Linked DNA regions of Stegostoma tigrinum. The protein of the gene in region 2 interacts with the protein of the main gene of each other region in a pairwise test. Links are inferred from orthologs where the notes say so. Each region holds a gene or a part of one and is shown on either strand. Other genes may lie near its edges.

Region 1 (8,362 bases), on a different chromosome or scaffold from region 2:
GGGGAGGCGGACCGAAGATGGATAGAGGAGAAGATAGGTGGAGAGGAGAGTATAGGTGGGGAGGTAGGGAGGGGATAGGTCAGTCCGTGGAGGATGGACCGGTCAAGGGGGCAGGATGAGGTTAGTAGGTAGGAAAGAGAGGTGTGGCTTGAGGTGGGAGGAGGGGATAGGTGAGAGGAAGAACAGGTTAGGGAGGTGGGGACGAACTGGGCTGTTTTTGTGATGCAGTGGGGGAAGGGGAGATTTTGAAGCTGGGCTGCAGGGTTCCCACGTGGAATATGAGTTGCTGTTCCTGCAACCTACGGGTGGCATCATTATGGCACTGCAGGAGACCCAGGATGGACATGTCATCTGAGGAATGAGAGGGGGGAATTAAAATGATTCGCGATTGGGAGGTGCAGTTGTTTATTGCGAACCGAGCATAGGTGTTCTGCAAAGCAGTCCCCAAGTCTCCGCGTGGTTTCCCCAATATAGAGGAAGCCAAGCCGAATTCAGCAGATGCAGTATACCACACTGGCAGATGTGCAGGTGAACATCTGCTTGATGTGGAAAGTCATCTTGGGGCCTGGGGGAGAGTGGGAGGTGGTGTGGGACCAAGTGTAACATTTCCTGCGATTGCAGGGGAAAGTGCCGGGTGTGGTGGGATTGGAGGTGAGTGCGGAGCGGACAAGGGAGTCGCAGAGAGAGTGGTCTCTCCGGAAGGCAGACAAGGGTGGGGATGGAAAAAATGTCTTTAGTGGTGGGTTCGGATTGTAGATGGCGGAAGTCTTGGAGGATGATGTGTTGTATCCGGAGGTTGGTGGGGTGGTATGTGAGGACTAGGGGGATTCTCTTTTGGCGGTTATTGCGGGGGCAGGGTGTGAGGGATGAGTTGCAGGAAATGCGGGAGACACAGTCAAGGGCGTTCTCGACCACCGCGGTGTGGGGAGTTGCGGTCCTTGAAGAACGAGGTCATCACTTACTTGGCAATCCAACTTTTGGCTTTAGGAGGACATCTAGCGTGGCCTTGTCGAAGATCTCTTTGCTGACTTTTACTTCTGCTGGTCCATACACTGCAGCCAGGACTGTCGTGTCCCCTTAAGTTTACAAAGAAAGCATCCAAAAGGTTGTAAACATAGGTTGGCATTGCTTAGTGGGAGCATTGCAACAAAGGGTTAATGTGACTTTATAGACACAGTTGCTCCTTCACAAGTAAGAAAATTAGCAGAATTTTTAATTAGAAAAAAGCTAGTTCCACATCACTGAGGCATTTACAAGATTTAAAATGGACTGATGTTTAAATAGCTGAACACCTTTCATGACCAAATGGCACCATAAAGCACTTTAGTTACTTTTGATGTGCAGCAACTGTTATGACCTATTGACCAGGGAGACTTTGAGGGAGTTTGACATGGGTGGATGCCAAGAGGATCTTTCTATTCCTGGGAGAACGGAGAACAAAGATCTCTCATTTAAGATGGAGATGAGGATGAATTTCTTTTTCAGAATTCTCTCCCCAGAGAGCAGTCACAGCTGGGTCACTGAATACATTGAAGTTGGAGTTAGGCAGATGTTTGTTTGACAATGGACTCAAAGCTTAAGGGAGATGAGCAGGAAAAATGGAGGTTATGCCCACCAGATTAGTCATGGCCTTATTGACTGGCAGAGCAGGGGTTCATGAACTGAATGGCTTGCTCCTGCTCCTAAATTTTATGTTAAAACATGGACAGTGATAAATTGTGCAAAGCTCCCACAAACAGCAATGTAATAACAAATAGATTGTCCAATTGACATAAATTGTGCACAAGATAGTAGGCAAAATGTTCTTCAATCATAGGTTCTGCTTTAGTTGTGTTGGCATCTCAGTCTAATCTATTTCACCAACATTTCTATGGGTAGTGTTATTGAAATCAAGGATGACCTTCCAAGTTGGCCACCCTGATTATGAAAATTTATCAATGAGAATAATCAAAAGTTGGGTCTTGAAGATTTCAAGTGATGGCAATCCCACCTAATTTGCACACATTTGTTAACAAAGTATAGAGCTAGATGAACACAGCAGGCCAAGCAGCATCTTTGGAGCACAAAAACTGATGTTTCAGGCCTAGACCCTTAGAAACCTGATGAAGGGTCTAGGCCTGAAACGTCAACTTTTGTGCTCCTAAGATGCCACTTGGCCTGCTGTGTTCATCCATCTCTACACTTTGTTATCCCAGATTCTCCAGCATTTGCAGTTCCTACTATCTCTTGCGCATCTTTGTACTGGGGGAGGAAATGGGGCACCCCAAGAAAACTGACACAGACACAGGGAGAATGTGCAAACTCCACACAGACAGTTGCTGGAAGCTGGAATCGAACTTGTATCCCTGGCGCTTTGAAGCGACATGCTAACCACTGAGCCACTGTGCTACACTCAACATGAGATGGTTGGGCCAAATGGACTATGTTCACATTGCCTGCAAGTCACGATGGGCCAAAACTGTAATGATTCTATGATTACATGAGATTAATAAAGGGCAATGGGCACAGCCAAACAGTGATATTGGCTGTGGATAATACAGTGCTGTGGGGAAAGAGAGTCACACAGTAAATATTACCAGTGTATGGAACTGATGCAGAGATATTGAGAGTGTGTGAAACTGTGAGGCTATTTTGAAATTGACACAGGGCCGTGGCGAATGGATAAGAGATGCAAGGAGCAGTGGAGTTAGTTGCGGATCTATACAGAACTTTAGGAGAAATAAATATTCCTATCTAAAAGAAAATATACTGACATTGAACCAGTCCTCAGAAGATCACACAATTGACTCTGGTGTATCAGGGTCGGGGGAGGGGGTTGGTGTGTGAAGATTATCTGACGAGGAGAGGTTGAGTAGGATGGGCTTGAACTCAATGGAGTTTAGCAGAATGAGAAGATAACTTGCTGAAACATCAGAAACGTGGGAGAATGAGAATTGAGTAATTTGAGTGGGAATGCAAGTCTGAGAGTCGGTCAGAAGAGAGACGAATGAATTATAATTTTTCCTTGTTGCTCTAAATGAGCTCCCCATCTGTAATCTCCAGAATCCCAACCCCACACCACCCTCCTCATACCTGCCTTCCCACAGTGAGTGTCCCACATTACAATAAGACTTGGGTAAGCGGGGGGGGGGACAGAGTAGGGTCTGAAAGAGTCTTCCCAAGGTAAAGGGCTAGCACCTACCTTGTGTGAAGCAGGCCGAGCCATCGGGCCTGGACAAGAGACTGTGTTCACTGCCGAAAGGCCGCAGTTGCTGCTGACTCTCAGCACCTACCTCCATCCCAAGCAGCACCGACTGTCAGGCCCCCTCCATTGTTAACTGACGGTGATCTCCACCAATCAGAAACCAGTACATCACAATATTAACCAGTCAAAATCAAGATTGGGTGGGACCTCTAGGCCATGCTCCGCTGGGGGCAGCAGCCCCTCACCAAGGACCCCCATTCTACGGACAACTTACTGTACGCCTTTACACAATAACAGCAAATAAAGCACGTTCCTTTTCAAATTAACCTGCGTGGCTTTTACTGCTGTTCGGTCTCATTGAAGGGGGCCCCGCGCTTGTTGTTGCTCTTCCTCAGAAGGCGGTGATAATGTAGTACAGGCGGCGGCTGGACAGACAGTAAACATGGCGGCGGCTGTCAGGCAGTTGGGAGTAAGATGGAGCGGCTTGTGGAACAGCCGCGTCTCCCGGGCTCAGATCGCCCTCTCCGCGTCTCGGCGTGCCCTATCTACCGGGGTGAGTAATTCCCAGAGCCTGACCAAAGGGTAAAATCACTCTGGGCCGAGGTTCCGGACCACCTCCAGCCGATTGGTCAGGAGAGGGGGTGGGATCCTGGGTCTGGCTAGTCAATGGGTTTTACAACCTAAACATGCAATCGGAGTTTTACTGTGATTCATAACGTAATAGCAGAACTTAACTAGATTTACTGATTGCTTCATTTTAACTGAATAACTGGACGTAAGATTACGAGGCTCACTGATTGCTTCAAAACTTTAAGCTATAAATAATAACTTTCCTGTCTTTCTGCTTCACAATTAATAAATCATAACGGAGACTTTAATCGTCACAATGTCTAAATCATAACTATTGATTCTTTAATGACTTAGAATTCCTAACGTTTTACTGCTGTCTACCTTATTGTGTCATAACCTTACTAGGTGTGCTGCTTGCTTCGTGACTTATCATAAATACTTTTTCATACTTTTTCATTATTCATAACTTACGAATCCGCAACTACTTTCTAAAACAAATTGTTTGTTAATAATCTGGGATGTGAATCCCCCAAATCCTATCATACTGGTTGGGCAATTTTGAATTCAGTTTATTTTCTATATTTATTTATAGTTGTAATGTTATTAATTATAGATGTAATGTAATGGAGAGTGTTACAGGTGAGTGCAGCAATTGTTCAGCCTCCCTCTGCCCTTGACAAGGTATTGGTGAGCTGTCTTATTAAACTGCAGTGTGTGTTGTGTTTGTACATCTGCCGCACTGGTCACTAAGGAAATCCAGAATTTTGCTATAGGTACAGTGAGATATTTTCAAGTCAAGATGGTTTGTGAGTTGAATGGAAACTTGAAGGTGGTCATCTTCCATGCACTGTCAGTTGTTATTCCTCCAAAACTGGAAAAAGTCTGCATTTAAATGTACAAGTTCAGAAATTGCTATCAATGATTCTCTGCTTCTCCATCGGGTACGCTGTTGATTTTCCCAGTTTTGGTACAATTAGAAATCAATTAGTTAGTTTTGCTCTATATAATCCTCAATACAGGTTACATTAAAATGGCAGATGAAAGTGAAAGCAGGTAAGTGTAAAGTGATTCATTTTGAGGAGAATGCAGTGTGGCAATATAAAATGAAGGTTACAGTTTTAAAGGGGAGAATCGGGCTGTGGGGTGGCAGGGGAGTTGCAAAATATATGGGATCTTAGATTTCATAAATGCAGCATAGAGTACAAAGACATGGAAGTTATGAGAGCTGTATAAGTTACTAGTTTGGAGTTTTTCATCCAATTCTCAGCGCCACACTTAAGGCATTTACAGGAATGAGGAAATATAAATTACATTGGAGAAATTGTGTAACATGGACAAGTATGAAGTTGATCACTTTGGCAGAAAAAAATCAGAATCACAGAGTATTGTTTGAAGGGTCATAGATTGGGAACTGGGTGTCTGAAGGGTCTGGGCATCTGTTTTACACTTAAAAAAATGCCCCGAAAGAACAGCAGATGCTGTAAATCAGGAACAAAAACAGAAGATGCTGGAAAAACTCAGCAAGTCTGGCAACATCTGTGAAGAAAAAAATCTGACAGACCTGCTGAGCTTTTCCAGCAACTCCTGTTTTCGATCCTTTTTACACTGTTTTACTGAGCAGTTAGGAAGGAAAATAGTAAGTTAACGTTCATTGCAGGAGTAAGGAAGCCATACTATAACTATACGGGGTTTTGGTTTGACTACATGTGGAATAATGTGCTGTTTTGGTCTCTCTTTACTGAAAAAAATTTGCTGTTGTGGGGAGTACAGTGAAGGTGCACTAATCTGTTTTCTGAAGAAGGACCTAGGCCTGAAGTAAAGATAATAAAATGTGAGGCTGGATGAACACAGCAGGCCAAGCAGCATCTCAGGAGCACAAAAGCTGACGTTTCGGGCCTAGACCCTTCATCAGAGAGGGGGATGGGGGGAGGGAACTGGAATAAATAGGGAGAGAGGGGGAGGCGGACCGAAGATGGAGAGTAAAGAAGATAGGTGGAGAGGGTGTAGGTGGGGAGGTAAGGAGGGGATAGGTCAGTCCAGGGAAGACGGACAGGTCAAGGAGGTGGGATGAGGTTAGTAGGTAGCTGGGGGTGCGGCTTGGGGTGGGAGGAAGGGATGGGTGAGAGGAAGAACCGGTTAGGGAGGCAGAGACAGGTTGGACTGGTTTTGGGATGCAGTGGGTGGGGGGGAAGAGCTGGGCTGGTTGTGTGGTGCAGTGGGGGGAGGGGATGAACTGGGCTGGTTGAGGGATGCAGTGGGGGAAGGGGAGATTTTGAAACTGGTGAAGTCCACATTGATACCATATGGCTGCAGGGTTCCCAGGCGGAATATGAGTTGCTGTTCCTGCAACCTTCGGGTGGCATCATTGTGGCAGTGCAGGAGGCCCATGATGGACATGTCATCAAGAGAATGGGAGGGGGAGTGGAAATGGTTTGCGACTGGGAGGTGCAGTTGTTTGTTGCGAACTGAGCGGAGGTGTTCTGCAAAGCGGTCCCCAAGCCTCCGCTTGGTTTCCCCAATGTAGAGAAAGCCGCACCGGGTACAGTGGATGCAGTATACCACATTGGCAGATGTGCAGGTGAACCTCTGCTTAATGTGGAATGTCATCTTGGGGCCTGGGATGGGGGTGAGGGAGGAGGTGTGGGGACAAGTGTAGCATTTCCTGCGGTTGCAGGGGAAGGTGCCGGGTGTGGTGGGGTTGGAGGGCAGTGTGGAGCGAACAAGGGAGTCACGGAGAGAGTGGTCTCTCCGGAAAGCAGACAGGGGTGGGGATGGAAAAATGTCTTGGGTGGTGGGGTCGGATTGTAAATGGCGGAAGTGTCGGAGGATAATGCGTTGTATCCGGAGGTTGGTAGGGTGGTGTGTGAGAACGAGGGGGACCCTCTTGGGGCGGTTGTGGCGGGGGCGGGGTGTGAGGGATGTGTCGCGGGAAATGCGGGAGACGCGGTCAAGGGCGTTCTCAATCACCGTGGGGGGGAAGTTGCGGTCCTTAAAGAACTTGGACATCTGGGATGTGCGGGAGTGGAATGTCTTATCGTGGGAGCAGATGCGGCGGAGGCGGAGGAATTGGGAATAGGGGATGGAATTTTTGCAGGAGGGTGGGTGGGAGAAGGTGTATTCTAGGTAGCTGTGGGAGTCGGTGGGCTTGTAATGGACATCAGGTACAAGCTGATTGCCTGAGATGGAGACTGAGAGGTCCAGGAAGGTGAGGGATGTGCTGGAGATGGCCCAGGTGAACTGAAGGTTGGGGTGGAAGGTGTTGGTGAAGTGGATGAACTGTTCGAGCTCCTCTGGGGAGCAAGAGGCGGCGCCGATACAGTCATCAATGTACCGGAGGAAGAGGTGGGGTTTGGGGCCTGTGTAGGTGCGGAAGATGGACTGTTCCACGTAACCTACAAAGAGGCAGGCATAGCTGGGGCCCATGCGGGTGCCCATGGCCACCCCCTTAGTCTGTAGGAAGTGGGAGGAGTCAAAAGAGAAGTTGTTGAGTGTGAGGACGAGTTCCGCTAGGCGGATGAGAGTGTCGGTGGAGGGGGCCTGGTCGGGCCTGCGGGACAGGAAGAAGCGGAGGGCCTTGAGGCCATCTCCATGCGGAATGCAGGTGTACAGGGACTGGACGTCCATGGTGAATATGAGGTGTTGGGGGCCAGGGAATTGGAAGTCCTGGAGGAGGTGGAGGGCGTGGGTGGTGTCACGGACATAGGTGGGGAGTTCCTGGACCAAAGGGGAGAAAATGGAGTCCAGATAGGTGGAGATGAGTTCGGTGGGGCAGGAGCAGGCTGAGACGATGGGTCGACCAGGGCAGGCAGGTTTGTGGATTTTGGGAAGGAGATAGAAACGGGCCGTGCGGGGTTGGGGAACAATGAGGTTGGAGGCTGTGGGTGGGAGGTCCCCTGAGGTGATGAGGTCATGAATGGTGTTGGAGATGATGGTTTGGTGCTCGGGTGTGGGGTCATGATCGAGGAGGCGGTAGGAGGTGGTGTCGGAGAGTTGGCGTCTGGCCTCGGCGATGTAGAGGTCAGTACGCCATACTACCACTGCGCCACCCTTGTCTGCGGGTTTGATGGTGAGGTTGGGGTTGGAGCGGAGGGAGCGGAGGGCTGCCCGTTCTGCGGGGGAGAGGTTGGAGTGGGTGAGAGGGGTGGAGAGGTTGAGGCGGTTAATGTCTCGACGGCAGTTGGAGATGAAGAGGTCGAGGGAGGGTAGGAGGCCTGGGGGTGGTGTCCAGGAGGAGGACTTGTGTTGGAAGCGGGTGAAGGGGTCAGTGGAAGGAGGGTTGGGTTCCCGGTTGAAGAAGTAGGCATGCAGGCGAAGACGGCGGAAAAACTGCTCTATGTCCGACCGTGACTGGTATTCGTTGATGTGTGGTTGTAGGGGGACAAAGGTGAGCCCCTTGCTCAGGACTGACCGTTCGTCCTCAGTCAGTGGGAGGTCTTCTCCCTAACCGGTTCTTCCTCTCACCCATCCCTTCCTCCCACCCCAAGCCGCACCCCCAGCTACCTACTAACCTCATCCCACCTCCTTGACCTGTCCGTCTTCCCTGGACTGACCTATCCCCTCCCTACCTCCCCACCTACACCCTCTCCACCTATCTTCTTTACTCTCCAT
Region 2 (8,077 bases):
GTTTATATGCAGATTAAAATCAAGCATGATTATTGATATCCTTTTATTACAAGCACCTAAATTTTATTTTTGTACACTGCGTTTTAGTGTGGTTATTGTTAGGAGTCGTCTACAAGCCCCCTATTAACTATTTCCCACCCACCAAACTATTCTTCATATCCACCCAAATTAATTCTACATCCTAACTTGCTGAATGTAGGTCATCTCTAACCATTGCTAATCTGCTATCCTTGTTTAAAATGCTATCTTCTCCATATTTACCTAGCCTCGTATTCTTCTTGAATGTAATATAGCCCACAATATTCAGGACAAAATGATGGTTTATATGTCATATTTATAAATTTCAGTGTGTGCTATCAATTTCTTTTTGATACAAATGCTACATACAAGATAAAGATGGAGGTATCAACCTGATGAAACCACCAACAGGACTACTTGCACACCAGACAGTGAAAGCAGCAAGTGATAGACAGAGCAAAGTGATCCCACAACCAATCGATCAGATCTAAGCTCTGCAGTCGTCCCACATCCAGTCATGAATGGTGCTGGACAATTAAACAACTCATTGGAGGAGGCGGCTCCACAAATTTCCGTATCCTCAATGATGGAAGAGCCGAGCACATCAGTGCAAAAGATAAGGAGCAAAAGAACCATTTGTAGCCATCTTCAGCCAGAAATGCTGAGTGGATGATCCATCTTGGCCTCCTCCAGTGATCCCCAGCATTACAAATATCAGTCTTCAACCAATTCAGTTCACGCCATGTGATATCAAGAAACGGTTACAGACACTGGATACTGCAAAGCCTATGGGCCCTGACGACATTCCAGCAATAGTACTGAAGACCTGTGGCTCCAGAACTTGCCGCTCCCCTAGCCAAGCTGTTCCAATACAGTTACAACACTGATATCTAGCCAACAATGTGGAAAATTGCCCAAGTACGTTCTGCACACAAAACGCAGGACAATTCCAACCTGGCCAGTTACCACCCCATTAGTCTACTCTCATTCACCAGTAAAGTGATGGAAGGTGTCATCAACAGTGCTATCAAGCAGCACCTGCTCAGAAATAACCTGCTCAGTGACACTCAGTTTGAGTTCTGCCGGGGCTACTCAGCTACTGACCTCTTTGCAGCCTTGGTTCAAACATGGACAAAAGAGCTGAATTCCAGAGGTGAGGTGAGAGTGACAGCCCCTGATATCAAGGCTGCATTTGACCAAGTGTGGCATCAAGGAGCTGTAGCGAAACTGGAATCAATGGGTATCAGGGGGCAAACTCTCCAGTGGTTAGAGTCATACCTGACACATAGGAAGATGGTCATGGTTGTTGGAGGTCAATTATCTTAGCTCCAGTACATCTCTGTAGGAGTTACCCAGGGTAATGTCCTCGGTCCAATCATCTTCAGCTGCTTCAATGACTTTCCCTCTATCATAATGTCAGAAATGGGGATGTTCACTAATGATTGCGCAATGTTCAGCACCATTCATGACTTCTCAGATACTGAAGCAGCTCAAATGCAACAAGATCCAGGCATTATCCAGGCTTGGGATGACAAGTGGCAAGTGACATTTGTGCCACACAAATGCCACACTATGACCATCACCAATAAGTGACAATCTTACCACCATCCTTTGATATTCAATGGTGTTACCGTCACTGAATCCCCCACTAGTCAACATCCTGGGGGTTATCAGTGACCGGAAACTCAACTGGACTAACCACATAAACATAGTGGCTACAAGAACAGGCCAGAAGCTAGGAATACTGCAGCAAGTAACTCACTTCCCGATTCCTCAAAACCTGTCCACCATCTACAAGGCACAACTCATGATTGTGATGGAATACTCCCCACTTGCCTGGATGAATGCAACCCCAACAACACTCAAGATGCTTGACACCATCCAGGACAAAGCAGCCTGCTTGACCGCACTACATCCACAAGCATCCACTCCCTCCACCACTGATGCTCAGTAGCAACAGCGTGTACAATCTACAAGATGAACTACATAAATTTATCAAAGATCCTCAGACAGCAACTTCCAAACCCACGACCACTTCCATCTAGAAGAACAAAGTCATCAGACATATGGGAACACCACCACCTCCAAGCCACTCAACATCCTGACTTAGAAAAATATTGCCATTTCTTCACCGTCACTGGGTCAAAATCCTGAAATTACCTCCCTAATAGCATTGTGAATCAACCCATAGCAAGAGGACTGTAGCAGTTCAAGAAGGTAGCTCACCACCACCTTCTCAAAGGAAATTAGGGATGGGCAAGAAATGCTGGCCAGTCAGCGATACCCACATCCCATCAGGGGCGGCACAGTGGTTAGCACTGCTACCTCAGTGCCTGGGAGCTGGGTTCAATTCCACCCTTGGGCAACTGTCTGTGTGGAATTTGCACATTCTTCCCGTGTCTGTGTGGGTTTCCTCTGGGTGCTCCGATTTCCTGCCACAGTCCAAAGATGTGCACGTTAGGTGGTTTGGCCATGCTAGATCACCATAGTGTTCAGGGATGTGTAGCTTAGGTGGATTATAGGGGGATGGGTCTGGGTGGGATGCTCCAAGGTTCGGTTTGGACTTGTTGGGCTGAAGGGCCTGTTTCCACACTGTAGGGATACTACGAAATGAATAGAGAAACAAAATACAATTAGATAGAACCTTTAGTTCTGACTTTTTATAGAACTTTGTAACATCTGTTGAGCCAAACGAATTTCACGAAGATACAAGCAGGCTGTACAGGGTTGATGGGCTATGAGCTTGGAGGCTGGGTGTGTGTGGAATCCCCAGATAAGATGAGATTAATAACCATTGTACAGTTAATAATTCAGCCTGATGTTTCCTGGTGGCACTGTAACCCACGGAAAATAGTTAGTGGTGTCTGGGAGATGGCATTCAGCCTCCACAATATATCAGTCAATAGACCAGACAACAGAAGCACCACCCTTATCAGCAGGAACAATTACAAAGTCAGGGTTGGGTCAAAGAGCGTGCAGTGCAGTCTGTTCAGAGGGATATAGGTTTGACTGGATGGGGGATTGAAGTAAAGGCAGCCAATGTCAGGCAAAAGCTCTCCCAAACAGGTCAAGTGCAAATTGGTAAAAGGCCATAGGAAGGGGTCCAAGTGGAGGCAGCGTATTGGAGGCAGGCCAAGAGATGTCTATTGGTCAGGGAGAGGACTCTTGTCCAAATGAATGGGCATGGAGGCAAAGAGAACAGCAGAAGAATTTAATGTCATGTTGTGCTATTGAAGTAGGGGCACAAAGGGGTAAAACGAAGTCCTTTCCTGAACACAGAACATTCAGAGAACAGAAGGTCAGAATGAATAGTAAATATCTGACAAGAGCTGGGATCAGGAGAAGGCAGCATCTCAGGAGCACAAAAGCTGACGTTTCGGGCCTAGAACCATCAGAGGGTTCTGCAGAACACCTCCGCTCGGTTCGCAATAAACAACTGCACCTCCCAGTCGCAAGCCATTTCCACTCCCCCTCCCATTCTTTAGATGACATGTCCATCCTGGGCCTACTGCAGTGCCACAATGATGCCACCCGAAGGTTGCAGGAACAGCAACTCATATTCCGCTTGGGAACCCTGCAGCCCAATGATATCAATGTGGACTTCACCAGCTTCAAAATCTCCCCCTTTCCCTCTGCATTCCAAAACCAGTCCAGCTCGTCCCCTCCCCCCCACTGCATCCCAAAACCAGCCCAGCTCATCCCCGCCTCCCTAACGCGTTCATCCTCTCACCTATCCGCTCCTCCCACCTCAAGCCGCACCTCCATTTCCCACCTACTAACCTCATCCTGCCTCCTTGACCTGTCCGTCCTCCCCGGGCTATCCCCACCTATCTTCTCCTCTATCCATCTTCGGTCCGCCTCCCCCTCTCCGATGAAGGCTGTAGGCCCGAAACGTCAGCTTTTGTGCTCCTGAGATGTTGCTTGGCCTGCTGTGTTCATCCAGCTTCACACTTTATTATCTTGGATTCTCCAGGATCTGCAGTTCCCATTATCTCTGATCGGGTGAAAGGCCTAATTTAAGTTAAGAGATAACAAGGCGTAGAGCTGGATGAACACAGCAGCCAAATAGCAGAGGAGCAGGAAGACTGACGTGGGCTTAGGTTAATGTAATACAAAAGGGTGCACTGTGAGAGATGTCATCTTTCAAATGAGTGTTTAAACTGATGCTCTGTTGGCCCTCTCAGTTCCAAACAAAAGATCCCATGGCATCATTTCGAAGGGCAAAGCTCTCAGTAATCCTTTCCGACGGTTACCTCTCAACCAACAATTTGCCAATCTGTGGGATCTTGCTATGTACAAAGCATTTTCCATGTTCCCCAGATAACTGCAGCTCCTAAACAAAGAAGTACTAAATTGGCCACCGAAAAATAAGTTTCGAAAAGTTCCGGACTGGTGAGAGGCTTTGTATAATGTACATGTTCTGTCTATCCTAGTTTTCTTTACCATCCTCCCGCAACCCCTCCATACCGTGACAGATATCCTGCTCCGCACCTACTTTCTATAAAGTCCTTGCACTCCTCCTTCAATTCTGTTGTACTTTGCGCCACCTCAGGGTCCAGGACCCTGAGTTTGTTGAGTTCGTCGAAGTGCAGGCCGGCCTCCCCGAGGGACTCCATCGCCATCAGAATCAACAATACCCTCTCGTCCCCTCTGCCGCTGCCACGGCGACAGCGACGGCTCTCTCCGCCCTGCTGCGCATGCGCGGTCACAGGGGGCGGGGCACCCACGGATGTCGCGCGTGCTCAGTATCAAAACTCACTCAGTCTCTCAAGGTAGTGTGGGTTTCTGCAACATTATTTTTGATCTTTCTTACCAGACAGATTCTGGAGAGCTGAAGAACTTTAGTTTGCCGTTTGTCCAGAGTATTGTATACAGAAGGATTTAAAAAGAAATCTCACTGCAACACAAAATAACGGTTGAAGCTAGCGAATCTTCGCTCTTTGTTGTTTTAAATGATCATTTATCGGCGAGCTCCAACCATCGGTGAGATGGCCTGGGCGACTGGACGGCACTTTAACTGAGCCATGAAAGTGCAATCCAGCGGCGGGAAATATATCTGCGCGCGTGCGCACTAAATCGGGAGCCGGCGTGTGGCTAGCGCGCGTGCGCAGTTAGACGAGTACGGACGGGATCGAAGTCACGTGTGAATGCCCTTGCGCCGGAAGAGAAGGAGGAGCGGAGGCGGTTTGAATGGTCGGCACGGCAACTGCTGCAGGTACTGGGCCTACTTCGGGGGTGGGGAGGGTTTTAACGAACGAATAAACAAACTCGCTTTGGACAGTGTTGTCAGAACAAAGTTCAGCAAAGCGGACTGAGCGATTGTCGATAAAGAGATGTCAGTGACCGCCTCAATGGAAGCGAGTTTAGGCTCCTCATGGCAGCTGGAAGAAGTGATCGTAGAGGATGGAACTCCCTCAAACTCGCCCCAAATCTGAGAGCTCTAAGTGAATTGTTTAAGCAGGCTAGGCCATTGGTTTAGGTTGAAGCTGGATATTTCCTAGGTTGCATCGGTTTCATCGAGTTTTCCCCTTTACCTCACCAATACTTTCTAAAAGACCACACTGTATTCGACAACAGAAATTTCTTCTCATGTTGGAAAGACCGAAGGAGCCTTCAGCTTTTGTTGCTTTCAGCCCCTTGGGTATCCATTCCACTCCTCTCCTCAGTAATTGTCTGACATTGAATCTGATCGTTTAAAACCTTTGTTTTGAAGCGAGTTTAGGCTCCTCATGGCAGCTGGAAGAAGTGATCGTAGAGGGTGGAACTCCCTCAAACTCGCCCCAAATTTGAGAGCTCTAAGTGAATTGTTTAAGCAGGCTATGCCATTGGTTTAGGTTGAAGCTGGATATTTCCTAGGTTGCATCGGTTTCATCGAGTTTTCCCCTTTACCTCACCAATACTTTCTAAAAGACCACACTGTATTCGACAACAGAAATTTCTTCTCATGTTGGAAAGACCGAAGGAGCCTTCAGCTTTTGTTGCTTTCAGCCCCTTGGGTATCCATTCCACTCCTCTCCTCAGTAATTGTCTGACATTGAATCTGATCGTTTAAAATCTTTGTATTGAATTTGACTTCAATATGAGTCCCAAACAAAGACTGCCTGTTTCCACCCCTGACTGTGGTTCAGCTCATCTGCTGAAACAAATGCATGTGTTTGCTACCTTTAGACACAGCTATTCCAATGTGTTTCAGCTTCTCGTGATTTACCCTTCAATACATGTATGTGCATCAATCCCCTTCAGTATCAACTCTGCTGACTTATCAACATTGGATCCAGTTAAGTAATACTTACATTTTGAAGTTTTCATCTTTGGTTTCAGATTTTGCCACAGCCTTGTCCCTCCTTATCTGATTTTGTTCTTATTTATTTAGTTTTATTTTATTTATTTTTGTCACATACCGAAACTGAAGAGAAGGTGCAGAGAATGATGAGCTCTAATATATGAGAGGTCCATTCATAAGTCGGATAACAGAAGGGAAGACCCTGTTCTTAAATTAGTTGTTACATGTTTTGAAACTTTTACATCTTCTGTTGATGGAAGAGGTGGGAGGGGTCTTAGATTATGTTGGCAGCTTTTCTGAGGCAGTGGGAATTCTAGAGCGAGTCAATGGAAGGAAAGCTGTTTTATGTGATGGTCTGGGGTCCGTTCACAACTGTGCAATTTCTTGTGGTCTTGGAAAGAGCCATACCAAGCTGTAATATGTAATATAGGATGCTTTCTATGGTGTATCTATAAAAATTGGTAAGAGCCATTGTGGACATGCTGAATTTCATTAACCTTCTGAGGAAGTAGAGGCATTAGAGTGCTTTCTTGACTATAGCATAGATATGAATGGATCAGGACAAGTTGATGATATTTACTTCTAGGATCTTGAAGTTCTCAACCATCTCCATCTCAGCACCATTGATACAGTCAGGGGCGTGTCCTCCACTCTGCTTCCTGAAGTCGATGGCCAGCTGTTTTATTTTGCTGACACAGAGAGAGATTGTTGTCTTTACACCATGCCACTAAACTCTCTATCTCTTTCCTGTGATAATAAGGTGTAGAGCTAGATGAACACAGCAGGCCAAGCAGCATCATCGGAGCAGGAAAGCTGACGTTTCGGGCCTAGACCCTTCAAATTCAGTTTAAGCTTAAATTTGTGAAGTACAAAAGAAACGGTAGTCAGCAGGAGAAGTGAAGCTAGGTTTTTTTTGGGCTTGGAAATGAGTATGTAACGGTTCAGATAAGGCACAGTTGATAAGTGAGAAAAGCATATTTAATGTCCATGCTAACATTGTTTGGCTCAAGATCTGCAGGTTATTCAAATGTAATGAAGCCTAAATTCTCAAAATTGCAAATATTCAGATAATAAAATGACGGTGAGCTGCAAAGAACTAGGTCGGCCCGAAATGTCAGCTTTCCTGCTCCTATGATGCTGCTTGGCCTGCTGTGTTCATCCAGCTGTATACCTTGTTATCTCAGATTCTCCAGCATCTGCAGTTCCTGCTATCTCTATCTCTTTACTGTACTCTGTCTTGTTTTTGTTTGAAATCTGACTGACATTGGTGGTGTCAACATGTAAATGGAGTTAGAGCTGAATTTGGCCACACAGTTGTGTGTGCGTAAGGCGTTTAATAAGAGGCTAAGCCTTGCAGAACAGTGGTGTTGAGTATTATCATCAAGGTCTTGACACCCATCTTCACTGATTGCAGGTCAGGAAGTCAAAGAACCAGTTGCAGTCAAGCGAGCAGAGTCCTAGGTCTCGGAGTTTAGAGATGAGTTTGGTTAAAATTATGGCGTTCAAGGTGGAGTTGAGGCCAATAAATAGTAAGTGTCCTTGTTATCTACATGTTTCAAGGATAAGTGTAGGAACACAAAAACGGCACCTGCAATGAACCTGATGCCACGTGCAATCTCCTCCAGCTTCTCCGACTCCCTGGATGCCTGTAATCTTCAAACTCTGGTCTCTCGGGTTTAGTTCCTCTATTGTTGGTGACTATATCTTACCCAGTCCAAGCCTCATTCCCTCCCTAAAGATTTCTGTTGTGTTATTTGTCTTTCTTCTTTTACTACA
Region 3 (7,396 bases), on a different chromosome or scaffold from region 2:
GTTCAAATCCCATCATACTGACTTCAAATGATTGGCAACATATCTGGAACAAAACTCGCTTTAGTAGTGATGACCATGAAACAATCGATCATTGTAGAAACCAATAATAGCAGATCTGATGTATATATGACTCGAAATCTAAGGTAATGGACTGACTCTTAACTGTCTCTGAAAATGGCCTCCCAGTTCTAATACAATTGGAGATGAGCAAGAAATGCTGGCCTCAGCGGCAACCCACATATCCCATGAAAGAATAAAAGTTCCATTCACATAGCACTTCCAATATAATAAGACATTCTAAGGATGGTTCTCAGGAGTATCCTGAAGCAAATTTGCACATTACAATGTGGGAAAACCATCTCAAGTCACACCATTTGCCCAGTCTCGTGCAAGCAGACTCTGTCTGGTAACCACATTATATCATTCATTCATGGCCTACAGTCCTGGTGATAACTGGTCACAACAAACCAGCTCATTTCCTAGCAAACAGTTCATATCCTAGCACCATGTCTAATATTAGACATAACTGCAACAAGTTCTATTTTGTGCAGCACCTTTAAGGCAGTTTACAAAGAAGTGTGACAACTGAAAAGATGCTCAACCAGGAGGCCCTTAAAATGAGTGTTAAATTAATTTCAGAAGTCTGTCTGTATGCTCTCTTACCTCAAAGGTATAATTCTCCACCAGTGGGATGTCTTGCTCATCTATTAGTGTGTACTTAGTCTGAAAACAGAAATAGATTTCTTGTTAATCTCTTTTTAAGAAAGATCAGTGTGGACTGTAGAAGCAGCAACTTAACGATAAAACCTGAGAGCACAACTGGGGAGACAGATAACAGCCAGTCTGCAGTATAATGGTTACTAGCAGACACAAGGTCAAACTCCCAATTGCTGAAACGGGAACATCACAAAAGCAACCAGGGAATGAGCACACACTTGCAAGATTAGAATTAGTGCAAAACATACCATCAAACTCCAATCTACCTCCAGTGTAAGTGGGTCAAAACAATGGAAACTGAATCATAATGCTAAGCAGCTGACATTAGGCAATGGTTGCTGTGACAAATGCATCCCAGCATCTTCATACTGTCACACACCCCTGCCCTCCAATGCCCCTCTCACCCCCACTGTTACTGATTGTTACCCAAGAACTCCCACAATGTAACTCAGTAACTGCTATCAGAAGGATTACAAAACCGAATGTCATTGCAATTTCCTCCAGAATTCTCAAGGGGAAATAAGTCCCAACTCATTTCAAAAACCTGATGTTCAGGAACATATCAAGTAGCCATATTTGGAACAGAATAATGGAAGGCTATTTAGCTCCAAGAAGCGAGACAAGGGGGGCACATTTGTGATTCATAAGCACCTTGCCTGAAATGAAAAGATAATGGTTATTGGTTACTCTCTGATGAGGTATTCTCAGGCGAAAATTAACCAGCTTGAATTCTAAGCATCAACCAGTTAAGAAACACCTCCTTGCTTTGTAAATAGTACTATTTATTAAAGTCCTTTCTATTTGAACCATCATAGTACAGCAGTGGGGGACCCCGGCCTTGTGGAAAAGCACATATACAGACATGCTCATGCCTAGCTGGCAATTCTTTCCTGGTCTTTCTGCCAAACGCTTGATTGTTTTTGTGTCTCTAGAATCTTATTCCAGGATTCTCCCACCACATTTCAGACAGGTTGGCACCCATTATGGAGTTGCAATTTACCTTCACATCTCTGCAGGGAGGAAAGCCCTCAACCTGGATACAAATCAGGCAGTATAACTGCAGCCTCTAGATCACTTCTGGTCATTTGATTCTACTATAAAATGTAACTTTGGGTTCTTTCTAAGATCACTAAACTCTGAGGAATATCTACAGGCAGCACCAGCAACCAGACCTCCCAAAGCACTTTTCACAGTTCTCCTGTGCTCATTCTGTTAAGGACTGAGACTGTTCTCCCATTTAAAATATACATTATGTGGCAACATCAAGTACTTGCACATTAGTTGTGAGACAGTCAACAGCAGTGTATTGCTCTCCACCATTGTGTCTCAATAGCATATCTCCAACCTAGAAGCAGACAATGTTGAATCTATCACACCAAAATTTTTAAAAAAGGCAACTTGATGCACTGGGAATCACTAGGCACAAGGAATTACATTTTGCAAGCAGGTGAAGGTTGGTGCACCTAAACTGAGACAGAGAACTGCTGTCATGCAGAGAAGATAAACTTTACAACCTAACGATCTGGAGATTTGATAAATCCTTGCAGAGGTTCATCAAGGCTGTGCTGTGCAAGGATACACAGGATTCTAAAGACCAAATAAAAAAAGGTTCACTAACTCAGACCTCATCATCGCAAACGAATGAGATCTGGAAGCGGCTCAAGTTACCTGGTTCGTCAATTGATGGCTACCTAAAGCTGAGTAGTTCCTCATGCCACAGAGTCAACAAGTCGCGCTGCAAAGCCTGTATCAATGTTGAGTTACTGTAATTTTCATTTACTTTTAAAAGAGGGATAAGTTCTTTCGGCCTTGCGAAGCGGCAGTTTTACGTGCCGCTCAGGCATCGCTTTGAAAGAGGATTCCCTGTCCAGGCCATTCCTCACTGATCCAAGTGTAAGGCAGGGAGTTGGGCTCTCCCCCAGCCAGCGGGAGCGCAACGCGGACACCAGGGCAAGCCACACGTGCCTCGCCAAGCCCCGATACCAGGCTGAGGCCAGGCCGTAGCAGACTGAGCACATGGCAACGGCACAGGGACACCGCGCCCCCATTAGCCGCTTCAGGTCAACCCGGGGCAGCGAGCAGGGGGAAGGAATTCGGGAGGCACGCCACCCCCAAGAGTTCGTATCGCCGTCGGGGAAGAGAGTGCAGGCCCGCACCCCGGCCGCTGGCCACATGGCCCCCAACGAGCGGCGAGCGGCCAGCAGGCCTCGGTCTCGCCCCACCCCCTCCCAAGTCTCGGCAGCTGCGAGCCGGCTCGGGAGCGGCACACCGCCGACCGTTCCCAGCTCCCACATTGTCTCTTCCCCTTCCCCGCTACCCGACTGTCACCTTGCCCGCCGCCCGGCCGAGCCGCACGATCCCCAGCTTGAAGTCGGACATGGCACCCCCTCCCGCCTCAGCTCTCCGCTCCGCTCCGACACGCGTCCGGACACCGGCCCCGCGCCTCCGCGCAAACGCTTCCGGAGGGCGCCGCGGGGTCAGCGGTGGCGCCGCGGCCAATGGGAGGCCGCCTGGCGCCGTCACGCGGGGCAACCGTTACCAAGGTGACGTCAGTTTCGCGGGAAGCTGCCCAAGGGGCGGGGCCCATCGCTCTCCGCGGGCGCCCTGTCCATCACAGAGCCCAGGGAACCACAGAACAGAGAGAGAGAGAGAGACCATCTCATTTTGGAGCAGGATTGGGCCATTCATCCCATCGAGTTTGCACCGCCATTTCATAGAATCCCTACAGTGTAGTAGCAGGCCCACCGACCCAGCCCTCCCCTACCCTATCCCTGTCACTGTCACCCCACATTTCTCATGGCTAACACACCTAGCCTATACATCGCCAGACACCATGGGCCATTTAGCACGGCCGATCCACCCAACTTGCACTTCTTTGACCATGGGAGGAAACCGTGGCGCTTGGCAGAAACCCGCACAGACACGGGGAGAATGTGCAAACTAATCAAACCTGTGTCCTTGCTGCTGTGCGCCACCATGCTATCCATCATAGCTGTTACGTTTCTCAACTCCATTCTTTTGCCTTCTCCCCTTAACCCTTGATCCATCTATCCCTGTCTTAAAGGCACTCAATGACTCGGCTCCCTCAACCCTCTGAGGCAATGATTTCCTCCACCGATTCACCACGGTAAGGCTGAAGAAATTCCCCTTCATCTCAGTTCCAAAGAGTCATCACCCTTTCCCTCTGAGGCTGCGCCATTGAGTCCTAGTCTCTTCTACTAGTAGCAACATCTTCACCATATCCGCCTGATCCAGGTCTCTCAGTATTCTGTAAATTTCAATCAGATCCCTCCATTCCTTCTAAACTCCATCGAGTACAGACTCATAGTCTTCAACTGCTCCCCATTTGACAAGATCTTCATTCCCAGGATTATTCTTATGAACATCCTCTGGATTTACTCCAATGCCAACTCATCCTTCCTTAGATATGGGGCCCAAAGCTGCATATTTCAAATACAAGTCCTTCAGCCTCCCCGCTTCCTCGACACCACCTGTCCCTCCCCCTTTCATGTGTCATCTGCAAACTTAGCAACAATGCCTTCAGTTCCTTCTGAGAGTCAGAGTGAGGGGCAGGCGGGGGTGGGGTGGGCATAGAGATCCAGTGTACAGGGGGGAATAGGTAGTCAGAATGCAGAGTGTTGGGAGTGGGGGACCAGTGAGTTAGAGTACCGCAGTGTCAGGGGTTAGAGGAGTGAGAGATCCAGAGTATAGCAGGGGAGAGGAGCAGAGAGACCAAAGACAGAGTTAACATTTCAAGTCCTGTGACCATTTTTCGTAATTCAACCAAGCTGTCTATTTGAGTCTGTATCTGCCCATCTGACACTCACCTCATTCCCCTCCATTCCAAACACATCAAGTAAACATGACAGATTTGGTAGTACACTACTGTTGATGACCGCCTCGCAACACGACCCTTGCTGTATCATCTCTCCATGTCTATGTATTGAGGTACCCTCTTAGTTGTATCATCCCCTCGCATCCCAGCATTCTGCATCCAATTCTGATTGAGTTACCTACCCACCTATCAATAGCACTGGCTGCCCAATTACCTCAGCCTGATCTTTAACAGATGAACCTCTCCAAACTGACCATGGCCCCCCCGTTGCGTGATTTAGCCAGATAGCCATGTTGCTCTGTACTCTACTGGCTCAATGTGCAGCTGTGAGATAGGCATAGCAATGTTCCGTAAAGCAAGATATCCACACCTTGTATGATCTGCTGACAAATTCTGTCTGAGAGAGAAAATCACAAAATGGCAAGACTAAAACAACAACTACATGGACCAGGGATGCATCTCAGGCCAGTCCATGTGCCTGTCCCTACACACATTGTAACAATGGAGCAGCATTGTAATGAGACGTACCAGAATTGTAATGAAAGTGAATCAGAAATATGCGATGATGTTGCGGAGCGCTGGTACATTGTCAGATGCCACCGTGCACGGACACAGGCTGCGTGAAGTCCCTTGGTCTGTGCCCAGAGGCATTGGTGTCAGTGTCCGAGATGGAGTGGTGGTGGGGCTTACCAGTGAGAGAAACATATTGCCACCAGTCAGGAGTCTGTACTTCTCATCATGGTTAACTTGCTCAGACAGGAGAAATGTTAATTTCACTTTATAGCCCATACAGATATTCATTTTAGGTACATTACTCATTAATTCAGTAATTATTTATAAATTAATAATAACACAAAAGGAGAAAATCTCCCTATTGCAGATGTCTTATTTTAGACATGTGGGCAGAACGCAGGAATAAGAGATAGGCCTCCCAATAGCCAGTTGGAGACAGAGGAACAGGTATATTGGCAGATCATGGAAAGATATGAAAACAGTTATTGTGATGCGTGATTTCCACTTCCTCAGTATTGACTGGGACTCCTTTGGTACTGTGGCAGAATTTATTAGCTGTGTCCAAGAGGCTTCTTGAAACAATATATAGATAATCAAACTAGCGAAACGGCCATTCTTAACCTTGTATTGTTGTGGAGATGCCCGTGTTGAACAGGGGTGGCCAAAGGCAAACATGACATGACACCAGGTTAAAGTCTAACAGGTTTATTTGAAATCTCAAGCTTTCAGAGCATAACCCCTTCATCAGGTGCAGTGAGAGGAGAGCACACAGGCACAGAGTTTAAAGGCAGAGAGATAAAGGGCAAAGAGACCAAAGGATTGTATGGTCATACAACTGGTGTGTGTGAACAAACCTAAAATGGCTGACTGCCTGCCTCCTGTTGAATCTTTCATCATTTTCATACATTCCTGCATTCTAGAAATTGCAGAAGCAGGGTATGGAGAACTCTGTTAGAAAGGGGGCGCAAGTTTCGACTGATTAAGATGCACAATCCAGAATCTGTTTCAAGTCACTGCCCTGCGATAATTAAAGCTTTCATCAATGTTTGCCTAACTTCCCACACTTCAAACAGGCAGAGCAATAGGAATATATAAAAGGTGACATCTCAGGTCAGACACTGAATTGTAGGTGTGAGGCCTTGTTCAGAATTTATCTCAGAGTTTTAATCTGGAGACAGGCTGGTTTTATTTCCAAAAGCAAGAATGTATAAAGTGCCACGCTGACTGACTGCTACAAATTGTGTGTTTCTTGAATAAAATAGAATGTAAACAAACATGTTGGATGAAATGATTCACCCCATAGTTTTTTATGTGTGTGTGAGAGAGAGACAGAGAGAGTGAATGTGTGTACGTGTGTGCTTGAATGTGAGTGTGAGAGTATTATGTGTGTGAGAGAGTGTGTTTGTGTGAGAGAGTGTATGTGTGCATATGTGTGTATTTGTATGCGAAAGAATATAATAAGTAAACCAAAACTGTGCAAACTAATTAAGGTAGAGAGATCATAAGAACGTTTCAAGGTGATGCTATCAAAACAGGACAGTGAGGAAGATTTGACAGATACAGAACAGTGTGGTAGGAACACCTGTAGCGCGACATGAACGCAACTTCACGGTTGAGGCTGTCTTCATGGGTACAGAACTTAGCTATGATTCTCTGCTCAGTGATTCTGTGTTGTTGTGTATGTTGAAGTCCGTCTTCGAGGACACCTACCCGAAGACCGGAGGCTGAAGGACCTTGACCGCTGCAGAGTTCGTCCACAGGGAGGGAGCATTCCTGTCTGGAGACTGTTGTGAAGTGCCCATTCATCCGGTGTCATTGCGTCTGCATGGTCTCGCTGATGTACCAAGCCTCGAGCATGCTCGCCTGCAGGGTATGAGGTAGGCAACATTGGCTGAGTCACATGAATATCTGCTGTGCATGTGGTGGGTGGTGTTCCCACGTGTGATGGTAGTGTCCATGTCGATGTTCTGACGTGCCTTGCAGAGGTTGCTGTGACAGGGTAGTGTAGTGTCATGGTCGATGTTGTCTTGAACTAGTTTGCTGCGAATGGTGATCAGTTGAAGGTTTGGTGGTTGTTTGAAGGGAAGATGTGGAGGTGTAGGGAAGATCTTGGTGAGATGCTCATCGTCATCTATGACGTGTGAAAGGCTGCAAGGAACATGGCACCTTCCTGCTGCTCCGGGGAAGTACTGGACGACGAGGGGTACTCTATCAGTTGTATCCTGTGTCTGTCGTCTGGCAGAAGAACCGCCAAATCTTAAACAGATCATTGTTCGCAGCCCAGCCTTCAGGACAACACCGATCACAACAGCACACAACCCTGCCATGGCA
Region 4 (7,359 bases), on a different chromosome or scaffold from region 2:
TTTCAACACATCATTTTGCTCTCACACTAACATTTCTGACCTTGGCCTGCTGCAATGCTGCAGCCAAGTCCAATGCAAGCTGGAGGAACAGCACCTTATTTTTCACTGAGGCTCTTTATAGTCTTCAAAACACAACATTGAGATAGACAACTTTAGACTCTGAACACTGTCCTCCATTCTGATTACACCTTACTGTCCACTCTGGCCACCAGCCATACACCGTCACCCCTCCCCCAGAAGTCTTTTTACACGGTTTGCTCTCAGGAGAGCTGACCTGTTTTCTGCTAAAAATACCAACCACCATCTATACCTTTTTTTAAAAACTTCCAAAGCAGTCCCTTTGTCCTTTACTCCAGGCACACCCACCATCTGTTCCACTTGCTCCCCCTCCCCATTATCAGCAGCATAAAGGCCGTATATTCCAGCAATTATCAGTTCCAAAGAGGCCTTAGTGTCAAAATATTAAATCTGTATGTCTTTCTACAGATGGTCCCAGACCTGCTGCTTTTCAGCACTTTCTGGCTTTATTTCAGATTTACAACATCCTAATGCTTTGCTTTTATTTGCACAGGAAATTGCCCAGCTCCAACCCTAACCTCACCATCAAACCTTCAGATAAGGGAGACTTTACATAGCCAAAGCCTGGCGCCAACTTTCTGACACTTCCTCTTACTGCCTCCTCGATCATAACCCCACCCCTGACCACCAAACCATCATCTCTAAAACCATTCATAACCTCATCACCTCAGGTGACCTCCCACCTATAGCCACCAACCTCATCATTCCCCAACCCCACACTGCCCATTTCCATCTCCTTCCCAAAATTCACAAACCTGACTGCCCAACTGCCTGCTCCTGCTACAGCCTCACTTATCTCTACTTACTGTCATGATTGTCTCCCCCCCCCAGTTAGGGAACTTCCCAGCTATGCCCTAGATACCATCCATGCCTTCCACCTCCTCCAAGACTTCATTTTCACTATGGACATCCAATCCCTGCACACTTGTAACCCCACACAGATGGTCTAAAAGCCCTCTGATTCTTCCCCTCCCACAGGTCCAACCAATCCCCCTCCGCAAACACCCTCATTCACTTAACTGAATTCATCCTTACCCTTAACAACTTCTCCTTTAATTCCTCCCACTTACTACAGACAAAAAGTGTGGCCATGGGCACGTGCAGGGGCCCAAGCTACGCCTGTCTCTTCATAGGAGATGTAGAACAGCCCCTCTTCTGCTGTTACACTGGCACTGTCACCCACCTCTTCCTCCACTCTATTGAAGACTGTATTGGCGCTGCCTCAGGTTTCCAAGAGGAGCTTGAACAGTTCAACTTTACTACCACCTTTCACCCCAACCTCAAATTCACCTAGACCATCTCCAATACCTCCCTCTCTTTCCTGGGCACCTCTATCTCCATCTCTGGTGACTGCCTCGAAAATAACATCTTTTTCAAGCTCGCCAACTTCCACAGCTACATGAACTACAACTCCTCTTACCCACCTTCCTGCAAGAGAGTGTGATCCCAATTCCTCCACCTCCACTCCCGTTCCCAAGACAGGCCATTCCACTCCCGCATATCCCAGATGTCCTCCTATTTCAAGGACCATAACATTCCCCACCCCTCTTCCAGTGATCGAAAATGACCTCAACTGCCTGTCTTGTGTTTCCTGCACTTCTGCCCTCACATTCCCTTCCCGCAACAAAAATAAAGACAGAATCCCCACTGTCCTCATATCACCCTACTAGCCTCCACATCCAACATATCATTATCCACCACTTCCGCCACCTACAATCCAACCCCAAAACCAAAGAGATTTTTCTCTCTCCACCCCTACCTGCCTTTCATAGGGACCACCCCCTCTGCAACACCCTCATTCACTCCCCACTAACCCCACCAACTTTCTCTGCAACCGCAGGAAGTGCTACACATGCCCCTACACCTCACCTCCAATTCCAGGCACATAACAAACCTTCCACATCAGATAGGGGTTCACCTGAACATCAGTCAGCTTAGTCTACTGATGCTAAGCTGCTCCCAATGTGGTTTTCTTTACATTGGTGAAACCAGGCGTACTCAAAGACCATTTCCATCAAGCATCTATGCTTTGTACACAAGCAATGACAACACCTTCTGATCACAAACCATTTTAACTCCCACTCCCTGGGTGACATGTCCATCCTAGGCCTCCTCCAGTGTCTCAAATGACACCACCCACAAACTGGAGCAGCAGCACCTTATATGCCACCTTGGGAGCCTACATCCCAATGGTCTGAACATGGAATTCACCAGTTTTAAAATCTCCCCACCCCCAGCATCATCCCATACCCAACCCTCTCTCCCTCAAACACAACCCATCCATCTTCTCTCTCACCTATTGTCCCTCCCACCTCACCGAACAATCCCCACCGCTCCCTACCTGTTATCACTTTCCACAACCCATCCCTCATCTCTATTTATTTCAGAGCTCCCTTCCCCAAGACGATCTGGACCTGAAATGTCAACTTTTCTACTCCTCTGATGCTTTCTGACCTGCTGTGTTCCTCCAGCTATACACTTTGTTATCTCTGACTCCAGCATTTGCAGTTCTTGCTATCTCTTAATGTTTGAACTTGAAATGTTTGAGTTGGTATAGAACCTACCATACAGGAAAATGTTCCTAGATAGTGAACTATTTCATGAGTAAATAAGAAAACAATTTGTAGAGCTGGATGAACACAGCAGGCCAAGCAGCATCAGAGGGGCAGGAAGGCTGACATTTTCAAGGCCCGAAATGTCAGCCTTCCGGCTCCTCTGATGCTACTTGGCCTGCTGTGTTCATCCAGCTCTACAAATTGTTACCTCAGATTCTCTAGCATCAACAGTTCCTACTATCTCTGAATCTATTTCATGACTAAATCCGGTTTGATTGAAATCCTGGTACTAGATATCTAACTAATTACTTGAAACAACACTAATCTTCTCGGAAACGTTAGCAAAGCAGTCAAATTGTGAATGGCGTAAATCAACTTCTCAATAATATAAAATTCACGGAACCAGTGTAACGAAAAAAAACCGCATCAACACACAAGAACATAATAAATAAAGGACACAACCTGATCAACTCAAAATCCCCATCGACGGAAGTTGTAAAAAAACGTAACCGTACTTTTACGAGATTCGTCGCTGATCATGCGCATATGACCCACAACACCACTTCGTCTTCCCGGCAGCGCCGACGGGCGGCGAGGATGCATTTCCATTTAAAAGGCCATTTCAATCGTTTCCTTTTTTTATTCAGCGCCTTTCATGACACAGGACATCTCACGTGATTTTGAAGTGTTTCACACAGCAATCAGTTTGAGCACAACATGTTCCAGAACCAATCATGCGATAATGAACAGACAATTAATATCTCTAATGATTAAGGGACACCTCTCTGAAATGGTGAAATGAGATCTTTTAGGGGCATCTGAGAGAGCAGACACGATCTTGGTTTTAAAATCAGAACAGTACTGAAAGTACAGCAAACCTCAGCATTATACTGGAGGATCGGCGTAAATTTTAGACCCAGAATGGCAGCCCTGTGACATAGAGGAGAGTGACTGTCAAGTCACGACTGACAACTACACGATACTTTCAAAAAGCATGCTGGTATATTGCAAAGTTACAGAAGCCAGTACAGACCGATGTATGGCACATCTATCATGTAATTTAACACACGATCTTAGTACTTTGCAAATCAGTCTGAGTCAAATGTTTCATAACTATGTGCGTGAAACGTTTGAATGGGTACTGTTCATGCGGAGGTCATGAACTTGTTTTGGCTGGTTACCTCCTGACTTCCTGTTCTCTTCTGAAAGTGTTCACTATTGTTTGTGTTTGAGTACAGTACATTCATCCATTAGTAAATTATCAAAATAAAATAAAACGTTTACGTTGGCTGTCTAATTCGCCTGCAACGCAAGAATTAGTGTTTAGACTTCCATGATCTATAATCCATGTTATTGATTCAACATGTGTTGGCTGCCTGTAGTCTTTCCAAGTCTGCTGACAAGCTAGATAGGAAATTAAGTTGTCATGAAGATGTATTCAAAATCACTGCAACCATCAAACTGGAGTGATCTTCATTCTCTTCACACATGACAGATGTGCCATATATTGCTCTGTATTAGGTTGTGTTGCTTTGCAATCCACCACCATGATCAGGAATGCCATTGAACTGGTATCTGGGCAAGACCATTCTCTCTGATGAAGGGTCTAGGCCCGAAACATCAGCTTTTGTGCTCCTGACTTGCTGCTTGGCCTGCTGTGATCATCCAGCTTCACACTTTGTTATCTTGGATTTTCCAGCATCTGCAGTTCCGATTATCTCTGAAGACCATTCATACTTGCCTTTCAAATATAAGTTATGTTAAGGATCATAACCCTTTCTCCATTGATGTTGGGTGAAATTGCAGTAACGCTAAGCAAAAATCTTGCCTTACTGCTTGAGCATGGATAATGGGATAATGAAATGATATGGGTCACTCTCTACATAGCACATGTGGTTATGAAGGTCCTTCTACTGCGAGGGTTGATATGTTTGGCATGCCTCACATCTGTTCCCAAGTCACTGAATATCCCAATTAATCTCCAGCAAGTACACAGATTCACATACTTACAATTTTGTGTGTTCAATACTCATGTGTCTCCAGTTAACAAAGTCTTCATATTTTGGTGTAATACTTTTGCTATTAGGACAAGTTTGTTTTTGATGATTTATGATACAGCAAGTGAGCATCTATTTGGCCAAAACGAACAAGTCTTCTCAGGCATTTCATCAATATTGTTAGACCATCCTTGGATAATTTATTTTGCAACTCTCATAGCTGCTCAGCTTTGGCAGTTATCCACTACAATTGTTCACACAGGCTTTCATCAAAGTGTAGCAGATCAATCTTGAGAATCTTGAGAATCATCAACTTCATTGTTTAGAGCATCAATCCATAGATCAGTCAGAATATCTTGGTCTTCGTGGGGGTTGGCAAATCTTCCCAGCATGTTGGATGTAATCAGCCTGATATCTGGCTTATACTTCATTTCAATGCCATATCTTTGAAGATCATTGACTAATTTGACTGCACTGTGAGTGGTTTGGTTTGATAGAGTGGGTGTGGTTTGAATCTCAAAGTATTATACTGAGATATGTTAATACAGGTAGTCATCTTACAATGTAATAGTTGCATTCTTGTGTAACCTCAAGCTGCAGAAAATCACGCTATAGAAAATTGCCAGAGAAAATCGTGTTATACGGAAATCACTATACCTATACTGCAGAAAGTTTGCATTATCCAAACAGTGTCCACCATTCATCAATCGCGTTACAGCCAATTTGCGTCAATGAAAGACACGTTATAGCAGAATTACTTGCCACTGCTGGACCACTGGCATCTACCAGGTAGAAGATTTTGGGAAGCCAAGATGAGTTTGCATATTAGCACTACACTGTGATTCCTCCAATGCATGGAACTGGTGGTCCATGGAATTACATATATTGTGGTGTTATAGAGGTGAGGTCATCGCCTCTCTGATAATTAAAACTGAAAAACCCAGAGAAGCTTCCCTCACCTCATAAACACTTAAAGGAAGTGTGAAAAGTGGTACAGCCTGCCTTTCACTACCAATCTGTTATAAAGGAACGGTTAAATGAAAGAAATCCCTGATACTCACTTTATAAGCAACAAGAGATAATTTATTCATCTAACTCCAGCAGTGAATAAATTAACAGAACTACTAGCAAACCAAACAATCCCCCTCTTAACTGCTAACTAATCCCAAATAAAACAAAATTCAGATGCTATTATAACAAGGTGTAGAGCTGGATGAACAAAGCAGGCCAAGCAGCATCAGAGGAGCAGGAAGGTTGACATTTCAGGCCTAGACCCTTCAAATGCTATGCTGTTCCAATAAATACAAGTCCCACTTATATAAAGCAAAGTAATAAAAAAACTTAGCGCCTCGAAATTACAGCCAGAATAAGTCTTCTAGAATGTTCTTTGCCTTCACTGCTGTTTTCCATTTAGGAATGTCTTTCTCAGTTAAATTCTTGAATTCTTATCTCAGGAATATCAGCTAAGAGTGCTGTCGTACCTTTGTTTAGATGCTGCTTACTCTGAGAGCTTAGAGGTTTCTGTGAGACTCTGATTTTCTCTTCAGATGGTTATTCACTCCCATACCAATTTTCAAATACTCTCTTCTTTTATACCCTTGATGACCTTTTAATTTCTTCCAATAGGATTGGTCCTATGTTGTCAAAACTATCAGTTTTAGATTTAATTGGGTTTTGTATCTAGGGCCTCATTTAAATTAATTGGCTAAATTCAAAAACCGTTTGTCTTGGCAAAAATGCTGCTTTGCCTGCTAACAGTCTAGCCTTTTGATACATTGTTTCAATTTCAAGTACTCTCCGTTCATCAGCAGCTGCCTGCTGACATTTTTGTTTAATCTCCAATCTAAACAACACATCATCTTTTAAAGGAAACATACACCTTTCTCCCCTATCATTTTATTAACAGCAAAAACGCTATTCAACTTTGCAACATTGGTATGTTTTTCAGGATATGTAATGGTTGTAAGTTGACCCTGGCTCCCATTTCAATTTTAATCTTTAGTGTGTGTTGTCCTACCTTTTCAGGCCGTACAGTATAAATGGTTGTAAAAGTTTCTGATCATCTAAGATTGTTAACATGGTGTATGAGGTTAACAATATGGAAAGCTTGGCATTTTCTGAAATTTGCCTTTGGTGCAGTTGACTCTGAACCTCAACAATCATTCACATTTGTGTATATTAACACTTTCCTTGTTGCCAGTGTAACAATGTTACATCGTGTTGTTGGTCAACTGTACTTTGTTTAGGGTTATGTCTTGGCCTTTGTAACTGTATTTCATGCATGTAAATATCCAGTGACCCTTGGTATCTGAAATAACTTCATACAGGCCAGTATCCCATCACCAAGTCACACTTTATTTACAAGTGGAGAGTCCTTGACACTGATCCAGCTCCCTGAACAGAACTTCTGACGCTGCTGTTTATATCAAATGTTTTACAGGTGTCCAAAGTTGTTCCTTAAGTGTGAGCTGCTGGCTATAGCAATTGCGCTAGTCACTCCAATGCATGTAATTGTTGTTGGCCTGTCACTATGGTTTCATACTTGGATCCATCCTCAAGTAGTGCATCAGTACATGGCCCTTTGACTTGCCCAAAAGATACTTTCTAATGATTTTAATTGGGGTAGAAGTGACAACAAACTCAATATAACTGTCAGTTTTTCTTCAGAAAGTCACATTCACACCTGTTGCTGAAGCACTTCTGTCCAACTGGTCAATACACTCTTGGTT

Evidence for each region.
Region 1: the proteins of BTB/POZ domain-containing adapter for CUL3-mediated RhoA degradation protein 2 (region 2) and exosc5 interact in binary tests that used the Homo sapiens proteins (3 or more experiments, as listed by UniProt). The two-hybrid records come from large-scale screens. The link is inferred for Stegostoma tigrinum from reciprocal best matches to the Homo sapiens genes TNFAIP1 and EXOSC5.
Region 3: the proteins of BTB/POZ domain-containing adapter for CUL3-mediated RhoA degradation protein 2 (region 2) and zmynd19 interact in binary tests that used the Homo sapiens proteins (3 or more experiments, as listed by UniProt). The two-hybrid records come from large-scale screens. The link is inferred for Stegostoma tigrinum from reciprocal best matches to the Homo sapiens genes TNFAIP1 and ZMYND19.
Region 4: the proteins of BTB/POZ domain-containing adapter for CUL3-mediated RhoA degradation protein 2 (region 2) and armc7 interact in binary tests that used the Homo sapiens proteins (3 or more experiments, as listed by UniProt). The link is inferred for Stegostoma tigrinum from reciprocal best matches to the Homo sapiens genes TNFAIP1 and ARMC7.

The regions. Positions count from the first base shown.
Region 1 is NC_081392.1:8,364,636-8,372,997, reverse strand, and holds the start of exosc5 (exosome complex component RRP46), read right to left. Parts: upstream 3,325-8,362; 5' UTR 3,279-3,324; coding exon 3,182-3,278; intron 1,077-3,181; coding exon 963-1,076; intron 1-962. Other genes in the region: bckdha (2-oxoisovalerate dehydrogenase subunit alpha, mitochondrial), read left to right, coding at 3,627-3,737. UniProt on the Homo sapiens protein: Non-catalytic component of the RNA exosome complex which has 3'->5' exoribonuclease activity and participates in a multitude of cellular RNA processing and degradation events.
Region 2 is NC_081380.1:36,808,484-36,816,560, reverse strand, and holds the start of BTB/POZ domain-containing adapter for CUL3-mediated RhoA degradation protein 2, read left to right. Parts: upstream 1-4,790; 5' UTR 4,791-5,233; intron 5,234-6,092; exon of another isoform or gene 6,093-6,295; intron 6,296-8,077. Other genes in the region: ift20 (intraflagellar transport protein 20 homolog), read right to left, coding at 4,514-4,640. UniProt on the Homo sapiens protein: Substrate-specific adapter of a BCR (BTB-CUL3-RBX1) E3 ubiquitin-protein ligase complex involved in regulation of cytoskeleton structure.
Region 3 is NC_081382.1:6,619,482-6,626,877, reverse strand, and holds the start of zmynd19 (zinc finger MYND domain-containing protein 19), read right to left. Parts: upstream 3,177-7,396; 5' UTR 3,097-3,176; coding exon 3,046-3,096; intron 724-3,045; coding exon 664-723; intron 1-663. UniProt on the Homo sapiens protein: May be involved as a regulatory molecule in GPR24/MCH-R1 signaling.
Region 4 is NC_081370.1:17,570,587-17,577,945, reverse strand, and holds the start of armc7 (armadillo repeat-containing protein 7), read right to left. Parts: upstream 3,203-7,359; 5' UTR 3,096-3,202; intron 1-3,095. UniProt on the Homo sapiens protein: As a component of the minor spliceosome, involved in the splicing of U12-type introns in pre-mRNAs.